Elephas maximus indicus: one gene and its partner. The protein of the gene in region 1 purifies or fractionates together with the protein of each later gene. This does not show direct contact. Links are inferred from orthologs where the notes say so. Each region holds a gene or a part of one and is shown on either strand. Other genes may lie near its edges.

Region 1 (3,743 bases):
TTGTTGTTTCATTAAGGGAATCAGGTCAACTGCATCAGAGACAATGGTGATAAAAATCAAAGCAGGATTAATTCTTATGAGACCAAAAGGAAAACGCTGCCATGTAGGATGGACAATGCTGATTCAGAAGAGTTAGTTAACAAAGCAATCTCCTTGACTGGTTCTGTACTGCACCAGCACAAAGCTTAATATTCAGTGACTGCTCATTATCATCCAATAAAAACAAGACTTTTTAATGTGTTCATTTTGAATCAAAGTATTAGGGCATGTGTATCAGAGAACAGAACACATCAAACATCAAAAAAAAAAAAAATTGCCATCAAGTCAATTCCAACTGATAGCCACCCCATAGGACACAGTAAAACTGTCCCACAGGATTTACAAGGAGCACCTGGTGGAGTTGAACTGCCGACCTTTTGGTCTTAACTAGTATGCCACCAAAACTCCAACTACCCATTAAGTAACTCCTGACATTAAGATTTGGGGCACTGAAGTCCCAACTGCTGATCAAGTTATAAAGAGATAGTTAGGAACCCAATACCTAGTTTGAACAAAGAAGAAAGAAAAGCATTGGAAGCTTTCTGGAATAGAGGTTTTTGTTTTTTTCTTCTCTTAGGGTCGCTATGAGTCGGAATCGACTCCATGGCACTGGGTTTGGTTTTTGTTTGTTTGTTTGTTTATCTTTAGTTAACTTTCCCATGTAGAAATATAATGTGTTTTTAATGTTGCTGCCTCAAACCTTTTTTTGGGAAGTTGCTAGTGAACTAAGTAGAAAGAAACTTTTAAACTTAGTCTAAGACTGAGGGAGGGGGAAGAGGGGGCGGAACAACTAAATGAATTGTTACATGTTTCATATTATGCACAAATCACTGGAACCAACTGTTGCCCACAGGACTAAGAAGCCCAGGTTTCAGATCCCAAGAATTAAATAGACAGAATTAACATTTTCGATATATTTTTTTAAGCATGCCAATTCAAAGACAAGTATAAGAGAAATAAGTTTGACTACATTTTCTTAACTTTCCCTTTCTCAAAAGTCTTCTAGAGGATAAAATTTCATTTTTAATTCCAGACTCCTTTATTCTAGCACTGTTTTAATGGACACTAAAGTAGTCATTACATCAAAGAGGTCATTTACACTTCAGGGAGTTTTGAAGCCATGCCTTAGCATCAAGTTTCATGACTGGCCTACAACAGCTCTGCCATATAGCAACAGGCAGGGTCCAAATCTCCTAGCTCCCAGTCTCAGTCCCCTGGTGCCTCCGTTCCCACCACCCCCCCCCCCCCCCGCCAAACTTTCTACTATTTATTCATTCAAAAATATGTACTGAGTACCTAGTATGTGCCTGGCACTGTCTTAGGTGCTTGGGGCATATCAGTGAATAAAACAAACACCCCTGCCCTCAGGGAGTTAATTCACACTGTGATACGCCCACTCTGCATAAACTCTAACAATAACAGCTTTATTACTTTTTATAGATGGTCTTTTCCTCTATTACAAATGTGTAAAAAAAAAAAAAAGTGGATTTCACAGCACACATTCTTCTGTGTAACTAAGTAATCTCTTGTATCAATGTCACACCATCCCAGCCCTGGGGGATTCCAAAGCTTAAAATAGACAAGCTCTCTCAGAAACCCCTGGTCGAGTTAGCAAATTTTCAGGCTGGAAACTTCATTGAATACCGCCTCCCTTAGCTCAAAAGCACGGGGTGAGAGGATTTTTCTCTTCAAAGACATGGCAGCAAACGTGGAGGAAGACACTCACTTTCAACGCCATCCTTGCTTACAACCGTTTGTCTACTTAGGCTCTTTACCCTCATCCTCAACCCCTCTAGCTGCTAAACAAAAATACCCAGGCTACTCCAGTTACAATCTTATATTTCACCTTTCAAAAGACCACCCACAGTATTCCACCAGCGACATTAACATCCTTGTACCACTTCCCCTCGCTGCCCCCGGGGCAATTCCTCAGTAGTAACTTTTTACCACAATAAAAATTTGTCCCACATTTCCTAACTGGCACGTCACAAATACACTTTGCCTTTGCTTCAAGGAGCTTTCACTTATCATTTGATCCTTAGAAAAACCCCGGGGGTGGGCAGGGATTGACGAATGTGATCATTCGAGGGGGAGGCAGCCTCTTCCTCCAGGCTGGGACAAGGGTGAAGCAAGTGGGGCGTTCTCAGGCACTCACCCTGCACTTGCACGACCCTGAGAGTGAGCGCCCCTTAATCCTGCGCCTTAGGCGCCTCACTCCTCATCCTACTCATGGTCCTGCTATTACTGCCACCCCTTCCTTTTACTGCCATGACCCCCCAAAGCCATCGCAAGCTGAACCCCTGTCACTGGCCCTCGTCGTGCACAGCCCCAGGTCCCCAGGAGACGACCCCGCGCTAAGGGCCCCGCAGGCGCCCCCGCCCACCCGCGCCGGCTCCGAGCTGGGACTCCCGCCCACCCGGCCCACCCGGCCCTCCAACGGGATTCCCCGTCCCGGGCCCGCCCCCGCCGCTCCTCCTCCCGGACACGCCACCCTCCCCGCCTCAGACGCCTCCTCGCCTGGGGCTCCCTCATCCCATCGCCCCTTTTCCCGCAGCCCTCGGAGCGGGGAGGGGGCGCCCCGGCACCCCGCCTAGGCAGGCAGTGTATCTCTCCGCTTCTTCCCAATTCCCCGATCCCTTCGCCTCTCCCCGCCTCAGGCTGGGGGCGACGAAGCGGGGAGGCCCGGCCCCACCGCCCGGTCCCGGCTTGTTTACTCACTCACCCTCCATCCTGAGCCGCAGGGACCCGCCGCCAGCGCGCCTGCGCGCCTCGGCCCCGCCCCCGCGCCGCGGCCCCGCCTCACGCCTCCTCCCGGCGCGTGCGCGTTGGGCCGGCGACCCGGCCGCCAGGGTTTCCTTCGCAAGTTTGCCCTTTGGCGCCAGTAGTCGGGAGTCCGGAACCCAGGGTGGTGCGGCGCGAGCGCTACGATTTCCAAGGCGGCCCTGTCAGGCAGAGGAAGGGCTCTGTGGATCTCTTTCTGAGTCTTGACCTTATCCAAGGGTTCCACCATCCCCACACTTTGGTGACAGCTATGTCTCACTTCGACATTTGAAGCCAACCTGGAGCCTCTTCGTACTGACCGCTTCACACCTACCTATGAAGTTCTAAGTTACTCTATAAGCTCTAAACTACCCTGTTGCTTTGTTTACACCTGACTTACCTATTTATGCAAATAGTTTTCCCAGTCACCTAAATTTAAAAATTTAGTATTATATCAAATTATCTCCTTACAAGATCCCTATTAGTTAAAAAGGAGAAAAAAATAGTAACTTTACAGGGGAGAAACCTAGCAGACACCACCTTAACTAAATGATCAAAGTTAACATTACCAATGTTGAGACTTATTCTTATCAGGTACCTTCCAGTATGAAGCACTGAGAAGGGTACAAAATCACTTCTGTAGTGTTCTTGCCAAAAATGCATAACCTGACTTTAATCATGAGGAAACACTCAAACTCAAATTGAGGAGTAATCTACAAAACAACTGACCAGCACTGTTCAAAAGTGACAAGGTCATGAAAGAAAGAAAGGACAAGAGACTGTCCCAGATTGAGGGAGACTAAGGAGACATGACAACAAAAGGTAATTTGTGACCCTGGATTGAACCCTGGCCCAGAAAAAGAACAGTAGTGGGAAAATTGTTGATATTAGAATAAGGTCTGTGAACTAGTTAATAGTATCTTATCAAGAGGTAACTTTGGTGA
Region 2 (3,743 bases), on another chromosome or scaffold:
GGAAGTCTCCCGCAGTTCCTGGAGGGTCTTCCCTGGTCTCACCTGTCGCCATAGAGGAGGGGCTTGCTCAGACACTGGGTACAGGCCTCATGGAACCACTGCAGGCAGCTCCGGCACTGCAGCATTTTCAGGTTCCACCTGAAGGGAACAAAAGACTAGTGTCCTCCAGACACCCCCCCCCACCATAACCGTCTCAAACCCTGTTTGTCACCTACTCCCATTCCCTTCAGCACTCCCCTCCCCCATTCTTTCTACTACATTCCCTGGGATGCCCTCCCCTTTGTCAGTCATTCCTTAGGCCCCTACCCCTCATTACTCACTCCCCAGGGCCGCCACAATAACAGTAGCTCTGCTGCCGATTGCTCTGATGTCCAGCATCCCAGTCTAGTCCCTTTAGTCCATATGGCAGAGAGAGCTTCATGCCCAGCATGGCCCGGGCATAGGGCCCCTTCTTCAGGGCACCCCCCCTCTGCAGAGACAGAACAGGCAGGAGGTCTCAGACCGGTGGGGAGAGGAGAGGCGTGGGAGAGTCTGTGGATGGGGGAGTTCCCACAGAAAGGGCCAGTTCAGTAGGGGTAACAGGGAGGTACCTTTACCTTGGTGGCAATGGCAAAGACACACTGGCGGCAGACCCAGGGAGATGGACCCTCTCCCTCTCCAGGGGCTGGCGCCCTCGGAACGTGGCAGTCCTGGTGATAAGCTGAATAATGATAATGTTGACAATAGACCACTTATTATAGTGCAGACCTGTGTTAGGCACCTGGATAGGATTAGTCTTATCCATTTCAATCTTTGTCTGTGGTCCTGCTGGAGGGGAGGGGTAGTTATTATCCTTATTTTACAGGTGAGGGAACTGAGGCTCCTAGAGGTTAAGGGACTTGTCCAAGGTCATATGACTGTAGAAGAGAGTGTACTTAAACCACCTTCTACCTGCAAAGTCCACACCATCCCCCATTCCATGGCTGCCTCTCCCTGGGTTGGAACAGGGGAAGGTTACAGGGTTGAGGAGACTGGTCAGAGTAGTGACCCGGGGACTGAAGTGACCTGGGGACTCAGACTGGACAGGTAGCATAAGGATGGGTATAGGAGAAAGGGCGAAAGGCAGCCTGGAAGGCTCATGGCAAGCTGGACCAGCCTTCTCACCATGGCGACACTTCTCACAGCTGACCAGCCTGTTCCCAGGGACCACAGTCTCAGAGCGACAAACACAGCAGAGGAGTTCCTCCCCAGGGAGGGCAGCTGTGAGGGAACACAGTGTCAGGGGGCCAGCCTAAGCCTCCTCCTGCCCACCCACCCAAACCAGGTTTCTGTTTCCATGGGATGCACACTCTCAGGCCTCTAAGGTCTCACCAGGGCTAATGTCTTTCCATAAAACCAGAAACTGGGAATCATCCTCAAATTGGACCAGACACACTTCCCGAGCACTGTCCACCTGGAAAGGTGAGCACAGAGGATAAAATGGGAGCCAGAAAATATAAGGGGAATGGAAAGAAGGTGACAGCTCAGAGATCAAAACTCTTACCTTCTTGATGGTCCCCAAGTATAGCAGCCCATCAGTCCATCTGGCCAACACATCTTGACCCTCCCAGAGTCGAGGTCTGGTGCCTGAGGTGGGAGCAGGGGAAGCTGGGTCCCAAAGCGAGGAGGCACCAGAGCGGCTCAGCCGGGGGGGCTGCGCCATTGCATCCTGGGGGGGGGGCTAGCCAGGAATAGGACAGGAGAAGGTTATGAATGCTGAGAATCCTTACCCATTTTTGCCTATTTTTCTGTCCTGAGTTCAAGCAGCTTCGCCCTCAAGTTTAAATCCCTGAGACACCTGGGGCACCAGCTTCCTGACTCCAGCCCTCTCAACTCTGGTGCCTTGCTCTCCTCTCCCTAACACCTCTCCTCACTCCACAACCTCATTCACTAGTTGCCCAGTTTTTAGAGCTCCCCTGGGATATTATACCCTGGCCTTAAAATTTTAGGGGAAACGATGGTCGCAGACGCAAAGATTATTCAGTTACTGTCACCTTCCCCATGCTGTTTAGAGGTGTCATAATTGGGGTGCTCTGTTGTCCAGAAATGTTTTTGGGGAGCTTTCCTCGAGATGTTTTTCAGAGCTTCTCAGAAACGGTTGCCTCCCCAGGCCCTCGTGTCTCATTCAGAACAATCACTCTGGTGCCGGGTTATGTCAGGTCACTCTCAAATTCGGGGCTCCCTGCCCCCGGGTTAGATAACTTCCCTGAGTGCCCCCAGAGGGGGCGTGTCCCATCCCGGTCTCTACTCCCCACGACCGGCGAGTCCGAGAGAGGACTTGAGTCGGCCTGGCCAACCCGATACCCAGGCGGTGTGGGCTCTCCCGCCCGCGCCCTGCGCGCCGACCCCCGGCTCCCTGCCCCCCACCGGCGCCTCTCGCCGCCTCTTTACCGGTGACAGCTGGGGCCGCCGGGAGCCGGGCAGGAGCAGCCGTGGGAGATCAAGGCGAGCCCCTCGCGCGGGGAGGGCACGTCCGGGCGTCGGAGGGCGTGCAGGCAAAGGCCGGGGGGTCCCCAGGCCCAGCCCCTCCGTCCCGGCAGCTCTGGGGCGTATGACGCAGCAGCCAAAGCAGCGGCAGCGGCAGGAGGAGGCGGCGGGGGGAAGGAGGGGAGGGACGGACCGACTAGGGGGAGGGTGGTGGGAGGGGAGGGCCGGGGGGAAGGAGGAGCCGGGGGGGCGGGCACCACCTCACCCCACCTCCCTCACCTCTAGCAAGCCTGGAGGGCGCTGAACGCATGGCGACCCCTTCGCAGCTGGGTCGGGCGGACAGTCGGACCCGGAGGGAGAGGGAATCCCCACAGCCCCTTCCTCTGACGGGAGACCCGCCCTCGGGGCAGGAGGGAATCCCCCCTCCCGGCAGTCTGCCTCGGGTCTGGCGCCAGGCCCCATGCCACATCCATTAACTGTCCCCCCCCCGGACATGGTCACTCAAAGTCCCGCCCCTCTGACCCTAGTCATGGCCCCGCCCACCACTCACCCTTCCCCTTGCCCTCGCCACGCCCTCCCCCTTGAGTGCCCCGCCCTCCTCTCGCCGTAGCCCTCGGCCCCGCCCTCTCCAAGGCAAGTTGTCCCCCCCCCGCCGCGCTTCTGCGCACGCGTGGCCCCTCCCGCGTGCGGCACCTGGGAAGACTGAGCCCCTCCTTTACGGGGCGGTGGCCGTTGGCTGTTGGCGCGAGGGATTCGGCGGGCGCGCGCTCCCGCTTCCCCTGTATGTCCCGCCCCGGGCTTTGAGGGCTAGTGCAAGGACGAGGAGAGATAATACCAGTGACGTCACGGAGAGTCAGCCAATGAACGGGCACAGGGCAGAACCCTGGCGATTCGAACAGGAAGGCAGGGAAAGGGCGGGAAGAGCCAGCAGTTTGCCCAGTGCACGCCTAGTCCCCGCCCCTCGATTCCTGTTCCCACATCCACCAAAGGAGTTTTTCTCCCAGGGGTTGGGGTAGCTGATGGTGTGGGTGAAACGGTGGGGGTGACCATGACGGGGCTGTGGGGTAGCTAGTAGGCGCACCTCCTTGATATTTATGATGGGGGAGGGGACGTTAGGTGAGAGAGAGATGGGCCAGACCAGGGTACAGAACCACAAAGAACTGAAGGTCCCCTTCAGACTCCAGCGGGAGACCTGTCCGAGAGAAAAACTGCAGCCCTCACCCCACAAGACACACACACTTGGCAGAGTGGACAGATCCACAGTTCCCATCCTTAGATGTATGAAAAATAGCTCCCTC

The links. The genes of interacting proteins can lie anywhere in the genome.
Region 2: the proteins of EZH1 (region 1) and PHF1 purify together in Homo sapiens (affinity purification with mass spectrometry; 5 studies listed by BioGRID and IntAct, with this or other methods). This does not show direct contact. The link is inferred for Elephas maximus indicus from reciprocal best matches to the Homo sapiens genes EZH1 and PHF1.

The regions. Positions count from the first base shown.
Region 1 is NC_064837.1:49,590,213-49,593,955, forward strand, and holds the start of EZH1 (histone-lysine N-methyltransferase EZH1), read right to left. Parts: upstream 2,846-3,743; 5' UTR 2,762-2,845; intron 1-2,761.
Region 2 is NC_064819.1:96,235,330-96,239,072, reverse strand, and holds the start of PHF1 (PHD finger protein 1), read right to left. Parts: upstream 2,931-3,743; 5' UTR 2,410-2,930; intron 1,700-2,409; 5' UTR 1,682-1,699; coding exon 1,523-1,681; intron 1,433-1,522; coding exon 1,351-1,432; intron 1,240-1,350; coding exon 1,144-1,239; intron 701-1,143; coding exon 597-700; intron 470-596; coding exon 321-469; intron 139-320; coding exon 43-138; intron 1-42. UniProt on the Homo sapiens protein: Polycomb group (PcG) that specifically binds histone H3 trimethylated at 'Lys-36' (H3K36me3) and recruits the PRC2 complex. Involved in DNA damage response and is recruited at double-strand breaks (DSBs).